4 linked regions of the Nothobranchius furzeri genome follow. Each later gene encodes a partner of the first gene's protein in a complex. Links are inferred from orthologs where the notes say so. Each region holds a gene or a part of one and is shown in the gene's direction. Other genes may lie near its edges.

The links.
Region 2: the proteins of gpaa1 (region 1) and pigt are in contact, whole or in part, in a cryo-EM structure (PDB 7W72), measured with the Homo sapiens proteins. The link is inferred for Nothobranchius furzeri from reciprocal best matches to the Homo sapiens genes GPAA1 and PIGT. Residues at the interface, in NP_003792.1 of Homo sapiens: Arg97, Ser98, Val99, Gly100, Glu102, Tyr104, Arg134, Ala135, Pro136, Arg137, Ala138, Ala139, Ser140, Thr141, Glu142, Arg171, Gly172, Gln173, Ile174, Tyr199, His200, Asp201, Val202, Leu212, Gln213, Gly214, Arg215, Ala218, Arg311, Tyr312; in NP_057021.2 of Homo sapiens: Gln91, Gly92, Phe93, Arg95, Arg97, Tyr98, Ser108, Phe211, His212, Thr213, Ser214, Asp247, Phe249, Ile250, Arg340, Gln355, Tyr357, Val358, Ser359, Gly360, Tyr361, Gly362, Leu363, Leu371, Tyr373, Lys441, Asp459, Pro460, Asn461, His462.
Region 3: gpaa1 (region 1) and pigs share a complex: the UniProt entries of both Homo sapiens proteins name them as parts of the GPI-anchor transamidase complex. The link is inferred for Nothobranchius furzeri from reciprocal best matches to the Homo sapiens genes GPAA1 and PIGS.
Region 4: the proteins of gpaa1 (region 1) and pigu are in contact, whole or in part, in a cryo-EM structure (PDB 8IMX), measured with the Homo sapiens proteins. The link is inferred for Nothobranchius furzeri from reciprocal best matches to the Homo sapiens genes GPAA1 and PIGU. Residues at the interface, in NP_003792.1 of Homo sapiens: Gln245, Leu310, Arg311, Arg313, Phe358, Leu359, Ile371, Ala389, Leu390, Trp393, His397, Leu500, Ile504, Leu508, Cys512, Leu515, Thr516; in NP_536724.1 of Homo sapiens: Tyr349, Ile355, Phe356, Cys360, Ile363, Val364, Leu367, Leu368, Val371, Leu372, Leu375, Ile377, Tyr378, Ala379, Gly380, Ser381, Phe386.

The regions. Positions count from the first base shown.
Region 1 is NC_091751.1:51,171,921-51,176,129, forward strand, and holds the start of gpaa1 (glycosylphosphatidylinositol anchor attachment 1 protein), read left to right. Parts: upstream 1-1,404; 5' UTR 1,405-1,491; intron 1,492-1,817; 5' UTR 1,818-1,865; coding exon 1,866-1,939; intron 1,940-2,037; coding exon 2,038-2,217; intron 2,218-2,309; coding exon 2,310-2,421; intron 2,422-2,507; coding exon 2,508-2,655; intron 2,656-2,751; coding exon 2,752-2,853; intron 2,854-2,941; coding exon 2,942-3,138; intron 3,139-3,220; coding exon 3,221-3,417; intron 3,418-3,602; coding exon 3,603-3,756; intron 3,757-3,889; coding exon 3,890-3,961; intron 3,962-4,043; coding exon 4,044-4,209. Other genes in the region: exosc4 (exosome complex component RRP41), read left to right, coding at 1-134. UniProt on the Homo sapiens protein: Component of the glycosylphosphatidylinositol-anchor (GPI-anchor) transamidase (GPI-T) complex that catalyzes the formation of the linkage between a proprotein and a GPI-anchor and participates in GPI anchored protein biosynthesis. Binds GPI-anchor.
Region 2 is NC_091755.1:30,371,363-30,375,646, forward strand, and holds the start of pigt (GPI transamidase component PIG-T), read left to right. Parts: upstream 1-1,462; 5' UTR 1,463-1,507; coding exon 1,508-1,898; intron 1,899-2,695; coding exon 2,696-2,873; intron 2,874-3,318; coding exon 3,319-3,446; intron 3,447-3,646; coding exon 3,647-3,747; intron 3,748-3,850; coding exon 3,851-4,025; intron 4,026-4,121; coding exon 4,122-4,219; intron 4,220-4,284. UniProt on the Homo sapiens protein: Component of the glycosylphosphatidylinositol-anchor (GPI-anchor) transamidase (GPI-T) complex that catalyzes the formation of the linkage between a proprotein and a GPI-anchor and participates in GPI anchored protein biosynthesis.
Region 3 is NC_091750.1:65,604,309-65,608,538, forward strand, and holds the start of pigs (GPI transamidase component PIG-S), read left to right. Parts: upstream 1-1,380; 5' UTR 1,381-1,418; coding exon 1,419-1,470; intron 1,471-1,502; exon of another isoform or gene 1,503-2,070; intron 2,071-2,149; coding exon 2,150-2,289; intron 2,290-2,368; coding exon 2,369-2,480; intron 2,481-2,563; coding exon 2,564-2,653; intron 2,654-2,730; coding exon 2,731-2,822; intron 2,823-2,909; coding exon 2,910-3,150; intron 3,151-3,241; coding exon 3,242-3,384; intron 3,385-3,470; coding exon 3,471-3,585; intron 3,586-3,657; coding exon 3,658-3,803; intron 3,804-3,923; coding exon 3,924-4,024; intron 4,025-4,101; coding exon 4,102-4,230. UniProt on the Homo sapiens protein: Component of the glycosylphosphatidylinositol-anchor (GPI-anchor) transamidase (GPI-T) complex that catalyzes the formation of the linkage between a proprotein and a GPI-anchor and participates in GPI anchored protein biosynthesis.
Region 4 is NC_091743.1:68,645,000-68,649,099, forward strand, and holds the start of pigu (phosphatidylinositol glycan anchor biosynthesis class U protein), read left to right. Parts: upstream 1-1,282; 5' UTR 1,283-1,323; coding exon 1,324-1,453; intron 1,454-1,771; coding exon 1,772-1,836; intron 1,837-4,039; coding exon 4,040-4,099; intron 4,100-4,100. Other genes in the region: psmf1 (proteasome inhibitor PI31 subunit), read right to left, coding at 1-49, 716-844. UniProt on the Homo sapiens protein: Component of the glycosylphosphatidylinositol-anchor (GPI-anchor) transamidase (GPI-T) complex that catalyzes the formation of the linkage between a proprotein and a GPI-anchor and participates in GPI anchored protein biosynthesis.

The DNA.
Region 1 (4,209 bases):
ACGCCAGGCTGCATCAGGATCACCTGGAAGCACTGATTGAAGCTGCAACGACAGCTTGTAAAGGTGTGAGCAAGGTGCTGGATGAGGTGGTGAGGCAGCATCTTCAAGAAGCATCGGTGCTCACCGGAGAGTAATGAATTATGAAGTGGAGCCCGTTTGGACTGAGAATCTCTGAACTCTTTCTTTATTTTATAATATTTCATTGCATTTCTTTATCCTTTTGTAACCAGACCTATAAATGTGTGAATGGAAATCTTCTCTTTGATTTTTCTCCTGACTCTTGTTCGATAGACATGTAGTCTCTGTTAGTTCTGTTAACTCTGAATAACAGATCATTAATAGTAATTATTAGAAAGAAAGAAAATGATCTTTTATATAGCGCCTCATGATAAAAATCACAAGTTGCTTCACAAGAAAAATACATTTTAAATATTAATAGATAAAATGATTAGAAGATATGGTTAAAATGAGAAAAAATATGTGATTAAAGGAAAGGATAAGGAAAGGGAAAGAGAAAATGAATAAGAAAGAAGAAAATCAGTGGATCCTGGGAGAGGTGGAGTTGGTAGAGCAGAATAAGGAGAGGGAGTGATGAAGGTAACACCAAAGCCAGCCTGAACAGGTGAGTTTTCAGCTTCTTTTTGAAGGAGACCACTGAGTCCACTGATCTCAGGCTCAGGGGGAGAGAGTTTCAGAGTCTGGGGTCTACAGCAGCAAATCATTGTCACCTTTGGTCTTTAGCCTGGTGCGCTGTACAACCAGTAGACTTTGATCACTGAACCTGCTGGGGATGTAGAGATTAAGAAGATCACCACTGTATGAATGTGCTTGTTCATGTAAGGGCCTAAAAACGACCAGGATCTTGACAAAAACCCTGAAGTTGACTGGCAGCTTGTAAAGCTGGAGATTTAAAAAAATGTTCTTTATTATTATTTTCAAACAAATCTGTCTAAATGGTTAGGGAGTTTTAAACTGGTGTATTTGATTAGGATTCTCAAATGTTTGTCAGGCCTTTAAAATTTTTGACATTTATTACAATGTGCATTTTCAGGGAATCTTGCTGTGTTTTTATTATTAATTTTAATGTGTGCACACTATTTTGTGTCCACAAGTTATAAAAACTTTCATTGGAAATATGCATATCAAAAGTGGGGGTGCCTAAGTATTTAGAGTAAAAAATTAATTTAGTGTTTGAAATTTAATATAATTTATTTTGTGGTCTCTAAAATCCAGATACAATTAGCAAAACTAATAATGGAAAATATTTGCAATGTTTGCTTTTTATAACCATCGGTCCCAAATTTGGTTAACGCGTTCTTTTGGATTCATTATTATTTTAAAATTTTCTTAAAATGTAAAAACTACTTGCATTTTTAAAGTTTTATTTTCTTTTATTGGGCGGAAGTTGGTCCGCGGCATTAGCCTTCCCACAGGAACTGGGAACGCGGACGTTTAGACCGCTCCCGTTCGGATCAAGCCCTACTTCTGCAGGTGAATGTGAACACTAGACTGATGTATTTATTTTTACCTTTAAAATTACATTTGTGTCATTGAAATGATAATGCATTTTTTAAGGTTTACGATTTCGGACGTTTTTAGTTTTGAGAAACCTGCTTGTCAAGCAGCTAGCAGGAAGCTAACCTCAGCTGACAATGAATGGCAGAAATAACCCCAACTATTATTTATGGAAAACTAAATTAATATAGAAACTGGGACCATTTTAATAAACACGTCTTTATTCCTTTTAGCAACAACAACTATCGGTCAATTTAACGTATAATTTTAATTACTCTTGTTTGCCTGCGTGCATCCTTTAGAGCTTCCGGTTGGATCCAGGTTTCTAGCTCCAATCAAAGCCGCCCAACATGGGGTTGTTGTCTGACCCTAACAGAAGACGGGCTTTGATCAGCCTTTTGACCCGCCTCAACGCTCCAATCTGGTATGTGCCAAATACCGGGAGATTCTTTATAACTGATATTACAGCAATTCTTCAGTATTTTGCATTATACATCATCATCTCTCACCTCTTCCTGTCAGTGTACTGTGCTACTTTGCTGCTGTGTGTTGGTTCATGGGGTTGTCATTCGAGCCTTTCACCTTGCGAACCTACATGTCAGAGAATGCCATGGGATCCACCATGGTGGAGGAGCGCTTCCCTGCAGGGGAACGTGCTCTGGCCACAGCCAAAGAGTTTGGTGCTCACAAGAAGAAAGTTGGGTGTGTTTTTGACTTTTTATTAAACCTCTGCGCCAGCCTAATAACAACAATTTCACACTCCACTAGACTCTTATAACATTGTGTCTCTGCAGTGGGATGCCAGTGGACTGGCTAGTGAAAACCATGCAAGCTAGAGGGTTGGAGGTGTTCACACAGAGATTCTCTCGTACACTACCCTTCCCTGATGAAAACAATGAAAGATATGTACGTTTGTGGCAGGAAATCACATATAATTGTTCTGCACATATGCATACATGATTTTTTATTTTATTTGCAACATTTCTTCTCAGATTGTGGAAGGTACAAATGTTTATGGGATCCTTCGAGCACCTAGAGCTCCCCGAACTGAAGCGCTGGTTCTCAGTGCTCCCTGTAGCCCTGGCGATGACAACAACCAGGCTGTGGGACTGCTGCTTGGCTTGGCTCATTACTTCCGAAGTAAGTCCAGCACCTGCTGCCATCTCTGGCACAGTTAGCCAACACTGGAACGATGCTGCTGTTGCATTTCTTGGTTCAGTTAATTTTGTGTATTAGATCAAGTTTTCTGGGCCAAGGACATCATCTTTCTTGTGAACGAGCACGACCTGATTGGAATGCAGGCCTGGCTGGAGGGCTACCACCACACCAACACCACAGGTGACTATTCACATTCATTCCTGACTATGTTGAAACAGAAAACAAAAGGCTGTATATTTTTATTTCTCTTGTTTTATGGTTCTTCTAGGAATGGACTGGTCTCCCTTGCAAGGCCGTGGCGGTTCAATCCAGGCGGCGCTGTCCCTGGAGCTCAGCAGTGATGTCGTCACCAGTTTGGACATAGTACTGGAAGGCCTCAATGGCCAGTTACCCAACCTGGATTTAGCAAATCTCTTCTATGCCTTTTGTCAGAAGATCGGAGTCCTGTGCACCATTCAGGGCAGGGTAAAGGCTTGTGAACATGTGTGCGGTATTTAGTTAGCAGACCAGTGAGGTGACCTGCTTTAATTTGTGAATGCCTTTGCAGATTCAGAGGAACGACTGGGACAGCGTGTCAGGCTACAGCCATGCAGTCCAGACCATGATGCTTATGGTGATGAAGCAGGCCAGTGGGCGATCCTGGGGAGATCACGGACTATTTCTGCGCTACCACATAGAGGCCGCCACCATCAAGGGCATCAACAGCTTCCGACAGTACAAGACCGATGCCACCACCGTTGGCCGGTTAGAGTTATTGTGAAAGTTTTTTTTTTTTTTTTTTGTCAAAACCCCAAATCAGAACAAAGTTTGAAAGTTCTTTGCAGACCTCAAATGCAGCAATAGTTGCATTTTGAATAATTCAGTCCTGACTTTTTGTTCATTACAAAAGCACATTTATATATACAGTATTTGTGTCTTTTGTCTCCTAGATTGCTGGAAGGGATGTATCGTAAGCTGAACAACCTCCTGGAGCGTCTTCACCAGTCATATTTCTTCTATCTCATGCCGTCGCTGTCCCACTTTGTCTCTATCGGATACTACATGCCAGCCTTTGGCCTCCTTGCTGTTATTTTACTACTTCGCGTATCCTTGCATCATAATTCCTCACTCCTTTTCAGCTGACCTAAGGTGAAGGTTTCCAGAAGAGAAAAAAAAGTTCTAACTGATTAAATCAAGGCTCTGCGATCCTCGTTTTTACACCTTGACTGTGCCTCAGGCTTTAGACCTGTGGGTTCAGCTTGCGACTCCACCGTCTAGAAATGAGGATGGTGTTGCTGATATAGAACAGGTTGGATGTAAAAAAAAAAGTGATATAAAACATTTGTTTTTTTTTTAATCAAATATTGTTTAATGATGATCTTTTCCCACAGTCCAGTACGGGGGTGCTTTCGGTGTTGACTCCTCTGGTCATCAGCCACCTGACAGGAGCAGCTTTGTACATGCTGCCTGTTCGTTTCCAGGAGATGGCGGTTGAACACTTCCAGGTTTCTGAAACGGAAGCCGTTGTCCTGACAGCCATTGCTGTTTACACAGGCG
Region 2 (4,284 bases), on another chromosome or scaffold:
TCAGAGGACTCCAAAGTGCTTTACACTAGTGACCCATTCATCGACTCACACACTATTTAACACGCTGGTGGTGAATAGCTACCCTGGGACACCCTGACAGAGGTGGGGATCACATGGCAGCACAAATGAATTCAGACTAGAAGGTGAGTTTTGCATTATATGCCCCATTTAATTCACAAAATTTTTTTAAATGTGGTAATGGATCAGCTGCAGAATTTGTTTCAATGCCAGACCTAGAAAAAATAACTGCTGAATGGAGGCCAGCCAGAAACAAATCTTAAGTTGTTTAATTGTCCATAAAAATGAAAAAGTTTACTGCTTTTATAGTTTTTAATTCTTAGGCATAGTTTTATCAATCCTTTGGCTATCTTTTATTTTGTTTTTCATACATTCTTCTTTTCTAATCTTCACTGAATTATTTTTTGTGTGCTCATATATTGTTTGTTTTAGAATACATCTCAAAAAGCTGGAAGCCTGGAACTACACTTGTTCTGTTACCCACTTACAAAAGAACATTTTAGCCTACTAATCTCATTGAAACTGATATATATATATACATACATACATTCTATACATTCTTATATATATCCCAATATTTGTTTTTGTCCTTTTGAGAAAATTAATAAAAGAAGAAGGAGAAAGTGTAGAAAATGAAGAGGGAGCTTGATTTATAAAGTTACAAAAGTTACTTATCAGAAACAATTCCTGTAAACTCTTTCAAAATAAAACACTAAGCCATTTTGACGCTGGTAGGGGAATTGGCTCCAACAGGCCTTTTTTCAGTATTTAGCAAAAAATACCCCTAAAACAGTTTTTAGGCAATAGTGTTAAACACAATGATTGTGTGGAGTCAAAGTGCATTACAGCTAGCTACAAACTGTTTTATTGCCTTAATGTTATTTGCACTCTCCAGTGGCTAGAAGTTAGAATAACACTCTGTTTAGGTAATCCATTTAGATAATGGGAGTTGAGAGTTGTCGCCCACCAGTATCAAAAAGTTGGAAATACACTTTTGTTATTTTAACCATTTAAAAGAAGAAACAACATTTTATATAGAGCCTCTCAAGATAAGTTATATATATATATATATATATATATATATATATATATATATATATATATATATATATATATATATATATATATAAGGAGAAGGAGAGGGACATACGTTACCGTAGGTATTCATTGTGCTTTCACATACACTTCCTGCAAAATATTTCAAAGTAAAATCCAAGCCAGTAACTAATAAATCGGGTAATGCTTATAACTGATTTTTGTAAACGAAATAAATGTATTTGTTTTAAATTAATGAATTTTATTATCAAATATTCATATATTCAGATTTCACATTTAGATCAACTCATGGTACTTAAAAATAAATAAACAAATGCATTCTTACTTTTGGCTCTTGATAGTTGCCATAGTCACGTGACTCTAGTTGCACGCAGCCTATTGGCTAGTTTTGTGCATAACACAAAAGACGGAAGTAAACTACTATTGTCGAAAAATGGCAGCTTATGTTAACAGGTGCTCGAATTTGCTAGTTTTTATTTTTATTTTGTCTGTATTTTTATTTGTAGACAGTCAACAAACGACCCCAGTCAATGAGCAACATACTAACACGGCTGATAATCCGCAGCCGGCCGCGGAATCAGCGACACAAACAGCCGAGGAGGGCCGGTGGGAAGCTACCGAGGTGGATGAAGCTGCACTCGGTGATTCTGCAGCAGACAAACTGGGCGTTCGTGCTTCAGACACTTTCGTCTTGACACCTACACCGCAACCTAAAGATGATTTTCAGGAGGAGCTGGTCATTAGACCGCTGCACTCGGGGGATATTTATGCCAGCTTCCAGTTTCGAACCCTGTGGGAAACAGATTTCATGAGAGAAAACAAAGGTGCGTGATTTTTGCGTCTTTCGGAGACCACGCATGATCTCAGTCCTCTGTTAAAACATGTTGCCGTTGCTTCAGTTTAAACATAAATAAAAGTGTTTCCAGTTTTTGACAGGTGTTCCTGATCTGAAAAGCGTGGCTTGTTTTGAATCCGGTGTTGCCTGAATGATCTGATCCCAGCTTTTACGTTGTCCCGTGAAGCTGCAGCACTGACAGTTATAATATTCACACTTTAGCCGAAGGTTCTGTAAGCAAAATCTAGAAATCTTTTTCAAAGTTTCCATTTTGGCAAGGTCTTCACCGTTGTGATCCAGACATGCACTGATTCAGGTTTTGAGGGCCAATACCAGTTTCTTATTCATGTTGAACTCTGACCTGCTAAAGCCAGTTTTGTGTGATTCATCTTTGAATCAGCGAACAGAGTTTTTATTTACTTCAAACCTTTTAACTTTGAGTCATAAAATTTCACATGGAAGATTGGTCATAAACTGTGAGAAATGCTAATTATTTTATTGCTTTTTAGAATTGGTGTCTTCATAGATAGAACTATTTAAAAATCAGATTTTTGAGTTTCGGATCGGGCAGTCAAACGTTTCGCTGATCATCCTGAATATCGGCCCAATTCCCATCTAAATATCTGAATATCGGCTCGATACCAATTTTAATTTAAAGTCTAGGTTTGTGACTTCTAGCCTCACATCCCATTTGTAAACTGAATTATTTGTGACGATCTAGCACGATATGTTCCTGCATGGTCAGGTTGACTTTGTAAACACTAAACAGTGCTCTTTTTTTTTCAGTGTCCCACTACAGGCTGTTTCCCAAATCTCTGGGTCAGGTCATCTCCAAGTTCTCAGTGCGAGAGCTGCACATCTCCTTCACACAGGGCTACTGGAGGACCATGCAGTGGGGGCAGCCCTTTCTCCCGTCCCCCCCAGGAGCTGAGCTCTGGGTCTGGTTCCAGGACTCAGTGACAGAGTGAGTGCAGGCCGGTGATGGAGGCAGAGCATTAGAGTTGCTTTTACTGAGTGAGAGTTTTACTTTAACCCTCCCACTGTCCTAATGGGTGTGACCCCGTGAGGAAAGTTGACCATTGAGCAGGCATCCCTGCCACTTGGACCTCAAGGGATAAACCATCAATTCTGCTCAATGGTCAACTTTCCTCGCGGGGTCACCCATGAAGGCAGTGGGAGGGTTATAATTAAAATAATAATATTAATAATAAAAAAATGAGTTCTCTTTCATCGTCTTTGTGTTTCTGATTATAAATGAAACCATTAAATCCAGTCAACATTTGGATATGTATTTATTACAATATTTATAGTTTCTTCATTTGTTTTATAGTGACGTCCCGGGTAACTTTTTAAACTTGAAACCACACACCAGGTTTAGCTCGTTCTTTCGTGTTTCTCTAACACTTCAGTGTGGACGCTGCATGGAAGGAGCTGACCAACGTTCTTTCAGGAATATTTTGTGCTTCGCTGAACTTCATCGACTCCACCAACACCGTTCAGCCCAGCGCCTCCTTCAAACCGCTGGGAATCGTCAACGGTACAGTGAAGCTACTCAGCCCCCCATAACCTTATTTTTATGTGTTTTATTTCTTTGCTACAAATATCATTTTTAATGTTCTTTATTTGAGTTTAAAGATACGACACTGTTGTAAAAGCGATACAGCGAATCGAGGGCTGGGTCTCTGTCCAGGATGCACTTTCACCCTCTGATTTCTGTTTACCACGTTGAAATTTAAGAGACAGACCATCGATTCCTTCGCTATGCCACCCTCCCGCGGGAAATAGTCTGCACTGAGAATTTGACACCCTGGAAGAAGCTGTTGCCCTGTGGATCCAAGGTAAACATCTTTGTTTATCTCAGCTTTCTGCTGTGGGTTAAACCAGCCAACACTTTGTGGGTTTGTGTGTGTGTGTGTGTGTGTGGTCATTAAATCTTTTCAGGCTGGTCTCGCTGTGCTGTTGAAGTCAGAGAAACTCTTCCACAGCAGTTTTTTTTCCCAGACCGTCCACATACGACCCGTGTGTCAGGATCGGGAGTGTAAAACCACGTCCTGGGAGCTGAGACAGACGCTGAATGTTGTTTTTGACCTGCACACATCTGGACAGGGCAAACGAGGTGAGAAAATAAAATTGATCTTCCTGCTTTCAGCTGATGTTTGAGTGTAGGTAACACAACTCTGGTCTTTGCTGACTCTCTGCTTTATTGTTTCAGAGTGGTCTTTGTTCAAGATGTTTTCTCGAACGCTAACAGAAGCCTGCCCCCTGGCCTCGTCCAGTAAAATATACATCGATGTCACGGATAACCCTCAGGTTAGACTTCTCATGTTCTCCTAATTTTTTTTCATCCCCAACATGGAAACGCAGATATTTTTGAT
Region 3 (4,230 bases), on another chromosome or scaffold:
TAAATGACACTCCGTAGGTAATGTATTTAGTTGTGTGAAAGTATTGATGTTATGTGGTTTTTGTGTCACCCCTCCCCTTGCGGCTGTCTCGCCCCTGCCCATCCCCACAGCAGAGATCAAATGAGTTTGTGTGGATTTGTCTGTGGGCTCGGCGGGGCAGAGACGGGCACTGCTTTGTTGGAGTACTGTGGTGTTTGTGATGTTCAAATCATTCCCAAAAACAGTCGGTGTATAGTGGAGAAAATAAACAGTAATTCACAACCTGGGTTCATCTTGTTTTAATTATTTATATGATTTACTCTTTTTAGATGAATTATGCATCCAAGAAACTCCTGCTACTAATATTACATTACTGTTGCTTATTCATATGTACACATTATTGAACCATAACATTAGGACTTCCTTACCTTTAAACCAACAATGGCAGCTGGCTTGAATGTTAGGAATATTAAACAGTTGGAGAGTATTCTGTAGTTTATTGTGTTAAAATAATAACGGTTCTAGTAGCAGTATTTTGAAAAGAACACCCTGAACTACCTGCTACATCCTTCTGATTTTCTTCTAAAGCTGCTTATTATGAACGAGTCAAACTGGGAGTGTTACATGCTTAAATTGCAGGTTTAAAGGTATTCAAGACAAGTCAGTGATACGAAAAAAATGTGATCACTAAAGGTGACGTTAATTAAAACTGTCACAAAGGGGCGAAAGTTTCCCCTTCACGTGTGTGTTTAATATTTTTTCAGGATCGCCCGATGACTTTCTGTCTCTGAAGCAATCACAGTTCTCCAAGTGTAATAATACATTTATCACAAAATTATTGTACTTTTAATATATATATATATAGACGTGTTACTGCTAGTTTACCCATTTAGAGATCCACTAGGATAAATACAATAAAGTTTATCTCACCAAATAGAATATTTACTAAGACATCACAATAGAACTGTAGACACATTAGAGTGTGTGTGTGTGTGTGTGTGTGTGTGTGTGTGTGTGTGTGTGTGTGTGTGTGTGTGTGTGTGTGTGTGTTCTGTCGTCTCGATCCCCAGTGAGTCGTGGAGGATGGCTGCTTATACTGAGCCAGGATCCTCTGGAGGTTTCTTCCTGTTAATAGGGAGTTTTCCTCTCCACTGTCGTTGCATGCTTGCTTAGTATGAGAATTGCTGTATAGTCACTGACACTAGTCAGTGACTTGATGCAATTTGCTGGGTTCCTTATATAGGACACATTATTTCTGATTGGCTTAATGAACTGTGAATTGGAATGTTTATTTTGTGAAGTGCCTTGAGACGACTCTTGTCGTGAATTGGCGCTATATAAATAAACTTTAATTGAATATATATATATATATATTACCTCCTTTATTCTTGTCTGAGTCAGATGAAATATGTGTCACGTGACTCAATGTTGTGTTGGTGATGAAACCGAGCACACCCGGTTCATTGCAAATAATGGCCACCGCGGAAGTGGGTGAGTAGATAGAATGTCACATTATGTTTTAACATTTTAGTTTAGTCAGAGTAAAAAATTTAACTGTACTTTGGGGTCCATTTACAGACTTTTTAAGACGTCCTGTAGCTACATTCACTTTTAGCTGGAGACATTTGTTTTCATGACGTTAAGAACCATTTTTGTTGAGCGCTAGCTCGCGTTAGCATTGTGGTTTCCAGGAAAATGTGCATTTATAACAGCTAGCTTCGTTTTAGATGTAGTTTTAAACAATTATTTTTATTTGCAACCGTCTGTTCTTCTATAATAAGCTGAATAAAACCCATGCATCCATGAAAAAATCTAATAGGTTCAAAGTTTATTTAGCTTATAATTTTTATTTATTATTTTAATGCCAAAGTTAACCCCAAACTAATCGATGAAAACATGTTGCTTCTGTACACAGTTAGATGTTAATGAAGGGAAATAAAATGTTGTGTTTTTATCCTGTTCTTATGTAGTTACAACCATTTATTTATTTTAATAGCATCAGTTAATATTACTGTGAAGTGATTCTAAGTTTAGTGATAGAAATAGATTAAGTATTTGACACATCAGTAACACACAAACAAATAGGCAGAGGTAATTTCTTACAAGACATTTTGCATCCATTGTAGAATTTCTGTAGCAGAACTCTTTTCTGTGTTGGTCTTTCTTTCAGAGCGCAGACGAGGTCAGCTTGCTGCTTTGTCCATAGCAGCTGTGGTGATCATCGTTGGAGTCCCTCTATGGTGGCGAACCACAGAAACCTACCGTGCCTGGTTACCTGTCAGTCAGATAAAACAGCTGGCAAAGCTACAGGTTAGTTTCTGACTCCTAAAACAACCTTTTTGTCTCGTGGGAGTTTGCTTATTCGTGTTTTATTTTTTCTGTTTTGCAGCTCCAGCTGAGCGCTGACGTAGAGGTCGTCTTTGCTCGTGGTACTGTGACCCCCGAGCAGCAGAAGAAGGTTCCACTGACACAAACACAGGAAGAGGAACATGCAGTGGACGGTGATTTAATGAAGTGGTTTAGGAGGTTGTTTCGGAGGATGAAGCGTGCATGCTCATTTTGTGTGTTTATGTTGTGCTTACAGGAGATACAATGTTAAGGTACAGGTTTGAGACGAGGTACCGCACAGCTACGATCATGGAGGAGGATGCACTGAACAAGCCCACTGCTGCTGGTCAGTTAAAGGTTAAATCTCAAATGAATGGTTTGGTGAAATTACACGCAGTTATTTTTCTGTGTCTTGTTTTTTAGGAGCAGATGAATCTCTGCACACACTCAGCGAGAGTCCGTGCGGTTCTCTGGTTTTTTATGTGATCCCAGAGCTGTCCCTATTGCTGCCTAAGGTCAAATCTGCTAGTATTTTATACTCTGCTCCTTATTTACTTCGACCCGTGTCGTGAAAAATTCGGACGTGTTTTTATGCTTTGCAGGACACAGATGTGTACATCGGTCAGCGTCGAACTGCTCTGCTTCGTGTCAGCTCCCAGGTGGGTGTGGGTAGGACACTCGAGCAGCTCCTGGCCCAACTGGAGCCTCGCATCAAACAGGTGCTGCAAGTGATGTCTTTCAGCCACACCGACGTCTCTGCTGTCCTCAGTGACCGAGTCCGTTTCAACCCAGACAGCAAAGAGGGCATTGCTGATAGCATGAGAGCCTTCAAATCCAGCCCAGGTTGGCTTTTATTCAGCCATGAATAAAGTTGGTGTGGTTAAAGTTGGTGTGAAAAAAACTCTGTTTTCTGTTTATTTTTATTTTCCTTTAGGTTATGAGATAACATTTAGTCTGTTGAACCCCGACCCAACGTCACACCAGCTCCACTGGGACATCGAAGGTGCTGTGCAGACCTACATCCAGCCTTTGCTCACAAAACTCTCCCCCGTGGCCAACTTTAGCATCGACTCTCAGGTATGAAACTCCGTTTTGGTGGACATTCAGTCAGGCGCAGAGCACGTCAAAAGATAACCCTCAACCCTATACTTGTGTTCTTACAGACGTTGTACTACTCTGTGCTCGGGGTCAAACCACGCTTTGACAGCAGCTGCGATGCCTACACGCTAAATGCAGACAGCCTCGCACACGTCATCAACCCGGTGGAGGCCAGACTTGGTAAAATAGGAATTTTAGGGATTTGAATCCACTGTGTTGCTTTATGATAACATAAAAATGTTTGATTTCCAGGTTCTAATGCTGCATCTTCCAACCCAGTGCTGAATTTCCTTTTGTACGTTCCTGATGCTCACCATTCCCCTCTTAAAATCCAGGATCATAGGAAACAGGAAGTGCCCTCGAATGCGTTTCATTCTCCTCGTTGGGGTGGAATTATGGTAAAATATTTAATTTTCTCTCACCCGAATGAAAGAAAATAGATTGTTATTTATTGAAAACACCCATCGGAGCAGTGAAGGTGTGATGATGGGGAAAAAGTCTATCCATTATTTCTTTAGGTTTATAATGTGAACGGTTTCTATGAGCCAGAGGCTGAGCTTCCTGTTGACATCAGCATCAACATGGCTGAAGTCATGGGAGTGTTTCTCGCTCAGCTTCGGTAAGCGTCACTCTCCTAGCAAACATTTTAATATTTCTTGCCCGTGTACAAAGTTTCCTAATTTTTTTCCCTGCCAGACTCCTGCTGGGTGTGCAGTCATCCCCCCCTCCCCCCGGCTTCCTGGTGGCACCACGTGGAAGTTCAGGATTAGCCGACTGGGAGCTGGACCGTCTCATGTGGAGTCGTTGTGTGGAAAATATTGCAAC
Region 4 (4,100 bases), on another chromosome or scaffold:
TGTTCCAGTCAGCAGGTAGAAGCTCAGACTTCTTATCACTGCTACGAGGCTGCAGAAGAGGATGGATGAAAAACACAAGAACAGAAACGAATAACAGAAAAAACAAAGGGTTAATGAACAAAAAATAGTAGATTTATTAAATCATCTGATGTGCGTCAATGTGACCCAGCCCCACAGAGTGAGTTAGTTTAACCTGCTAAAAGATGACTTGACATGTTTTGTTTTGACAGTTCGTTACTTTAAATCATTGGGTTTAAATGAAACAATTTGATTGAAAATAAGTAAAAGACGTCTCCTAGACATTATAATCCAGCGAAGTTAGCTAAATCCAGAAAAGTATACCCTTTTGGAAAGCTAAAGCTAACTTCAAAATAGCAGGTTAGCGTGCGCAAGTTCCCCTAGAAAATCGATTGCTTAATGTCTCCTTCAATAACATAAAATAATCACGTCAGAAACTGTGTAAATGACATTATTATTCTGTACAATATCTTACTGCTGATCTATCGGCATTTATTAGTTTAATTAAAACCTTGTACTTTTTCAATAACGTGTAATTTCATGTCTGATCTTTTGTCTGTTCGTTTCTTTTATGAAGCATAAATAGTGAAACCCTTGTTACAAAAATAACAAACCAGGTCAACAGGTCAGGTTACTGTTTGTCCATTTTCTGCATCATCTGAATCTGACCCAGCTTCAAACAGCCGATTTTACTCACATCATCTCCAGACCCGATACACCTGTATCCATTCTTTATCATTTCCCAGTGAACGAAGCACACAACGGCGTCATGCGGGCAGCTGATGCTACCTGCGACACAGGTGTACAACACCTCCAAGCCTGCCATGTTTCTTTAGTGTCTCGACATCAACACAGCATCAAAACGACGAAAAGAAAACGAAAGTCTTCCCATTTGCAACCTAGAAACTTCTAGCACTTCCTGTCTGGGGATTTCAATGTAAAAGCACCGCAAAAAATTCGTTGCAAGGCCAGGCGCCTTGACATTGAGAAACACTCTTATAGATACATTCTGTAGATATTTGTACTGAGTATTTTTACACAAAAGTAATGAAAATGATCTGTATTACATCTGTGTTCTAAATGAAATCCAAAAAAAAATTATAAAATGTGCAAAAAACCAAACACAAAAAATAATTATGATCAGAATTTTACAAGAACGTAATGCCTTTTCAAGTAAAATAGAAGACGAATAATAGTTTATGTGAACTTTATTTTGTTTTATTTATGTAGTTGTCTTTTTAGACAACATACTTCATTTCCCATCATGCCTTGTACCGGCAGGGCGGAAAGCGCTTCCTTGTGAAGATGGCGGCTCCCTTGACTCTACTTTTAGTTGTAGCCGTTACAATCCGCGCGGCTCTTTACAGATCCTCTCTAGCGGAGGTAATCGCGGAGCGGGTGGAGGTGGTGTCACCCATTACCGCCTGGAAACGAGGTAAGCGCGGGTGCGGCTGTCGTCCGGATCCCAGTTGTTCGGTTAAAATTCCGGTTCCTTCCTGCATCTTCGTCTGAACGATGCTGTCAAGTCAAACCAGTTCCGATACAAAAGACGGAGAGTCCTGATCGGCTTGCAAAAACAAATCCAGACAAGCCTAGACAAGTGCTGATTTCTTATAAAAATGTTGAATAATGTGTGTGGATGCTACATGTGTCATGCTTCAGCCCCTGTAAAGTAAAACCAGATCATTACAAGGTGATTGATGATATTAGCTCTACCATAGAGGATAACACAGATGTTGTTTGTTTTTTGCAGTTATTGAGGGTTTGGCACTGCTTGATCTTGGAGTTTCACCATACTCAGGAGATGTGTTCCATGAGGTAGGAGATCCGCACATTAAATACCTATCATGTTATCAGGCCATGACAGCATTTGTGTCTGCTTTAGGGGTTAGGTGATGAGCTGATTTCAAATCCTCAAGGATTTAAATGTGTTGCCAATCTGCCAAAGTAATAATAGTAGGATTGTCACAAACTATTTATCAGAATGATTGGGAAATGTTGCTGCCCAGATCGATTTGGATGCAACACACTCAGGGCCTGATCACATTATTGTGTATTTATGGTATTTATGGCCCAGTCCCAATACTCACACCTCCACACTTGTGCCTTTTAATATCATGTTCCCAGCCAGGGGTGCAAGTGCATAGGGTGTCCCGATTTTCAAGTGCAGGAAGTGACCAAGCTCATTTTGCACCCTTGATCTGCACTTTTCCCAGGTCTGTATCAATGTGGACTTGGGTGACCCACAGTTACCCACAATCTATTCCTGCGTGTTAAGTTTGAGAAGAAGGCAGGGCAATGGCTCAAGTGCCTTTTCTGAAAATTTGTATTTTCAAATGAAAGAAATTTTAAGACGATTAATGACATTTATTCATGTTGTGAATTTTTTAAGACTAAGGTTTAATGTGGACGGCAATGAATTTCAATTTAGGGTCTCCAAAAAGGGTGGGTAGTCTGAACTGTAGTTTGGTGCATAAGCACTGACCACAGTCAGAACCCGTCCCCCCACACGTAGGCGGAGGGAGGCTACCCTCTGATTCACTGGGGTAAACCTCAACATACAGGCACCAAGATGGGGGGCAACTAATATGCCCACCCCTGCTCAGCGCCTCTCAGTGGAAGCAACTCCAGAGTGGTAGAAAGTCCAACCCCTCTCAAGGAAACTGGTTCCAGAGCCAGAGCCATGCATTGAGATGAGTCAGACTATATCTAGTTGGAACCTCTCAACGTCACACACCAACTCAGGCTCCTTCCCCACCAGAGAGGTGACATTCCATGTGCCAAGAGCCAGCTTCTGTAGCCGAGGATCAGACAGCCAAGGTCCCTGCCCTCGACTACCACCCGTCACACACTGCACCTGACCCCTTTGGCCCCTCCCACGAGTGGTGAGCCCATGGGAAGGGGGATCCACATTTCCTCTTCGGGCTGTGCCCGGCTGGGCTCCATGGGTGAAAGCCCATCCACCAGGCGCTCGCCAACATGCCCCACCTCCAGGCCTGGCTCCAGAGGGGGGCCCCCGTGACCCATGTCCGGGCGAGGGAACACAGTTTCCATTTATATAATTCATCATAAGAGGTCTTTGGGTTGCTCTTTGTCTGATCCCTCACCTAGGACCTGTTTGCCATGGGTGACCCTACCAGACGCAAAAAGCCTCAGACAACTTAGCTCCTAGGATCATTGAAACACTCAAACCCCTCCACCACGGTAAGGTGGCAGCCCACGGAGAGGAACTTACTACGCACTTACTACATGGACTGAAATGCTTGCCCTGGTTTTCTCCATGTTTAATGCTCCTTCTGTCATCCTGGAAGAGAGCGTTAAAGCTTGCAAAATACACAGCCATTTTCTTCTCCATGTCTGAATCTCATGTCAATGATGTCAATATGGTGAGACACAATTGTAGTCCTAAATGTCTTTTCACACAAAACCTAAAATCACTGTTCGAAAATAGCGAATAACAGAGTCTTGGCATAAATGTGTCTTTAAAATTCACGGACGTCAAATGTAAAATCCGTGGCACATATCAAACAGGGTCAGAAAATAACTTTTATCCGCTCATAGACTCCGATTCATTTTTGGGAGCAGTGGGACACCCATGGACCAGAAGTGGGTGGGTGTGGCTTAGGCTCCCCCCAAAAAAACAAGTAGAAGTAAAGATGTTCTTACTTGGTGAGGATTTTCAGTGTTGGTCTGTTAGCATAACTTCAAAATGAGTTGGTGATTTACATCATGGTGAGGTTAACTGTCAGCTGTGGCATTAGGTTAGCATTATTAGCAGCTATTAGCATAAGGTAGATAATTAACCTATATGTTACAGCATCCCCCCCCCCCTCCTTTAGGGCTGCTTTAACATAGAGAGCATGTTTTGTTTCATTTTTGTGAAAATTTACTTTAAATATGAAAAATCATTATTTTACTTTTAAACTAAAATAATGATTTGACATTTGCCACAACCCTCAACCCAAGTTTACATCATATGCTCCTATTTTGATTCCAAATAACCTTTTTGTTTTTTCTCCAGACCCCTCTCGTCATCTATCTCTTCCACTTTCTGGTGGATTATGCAGAAATTACATTTATGG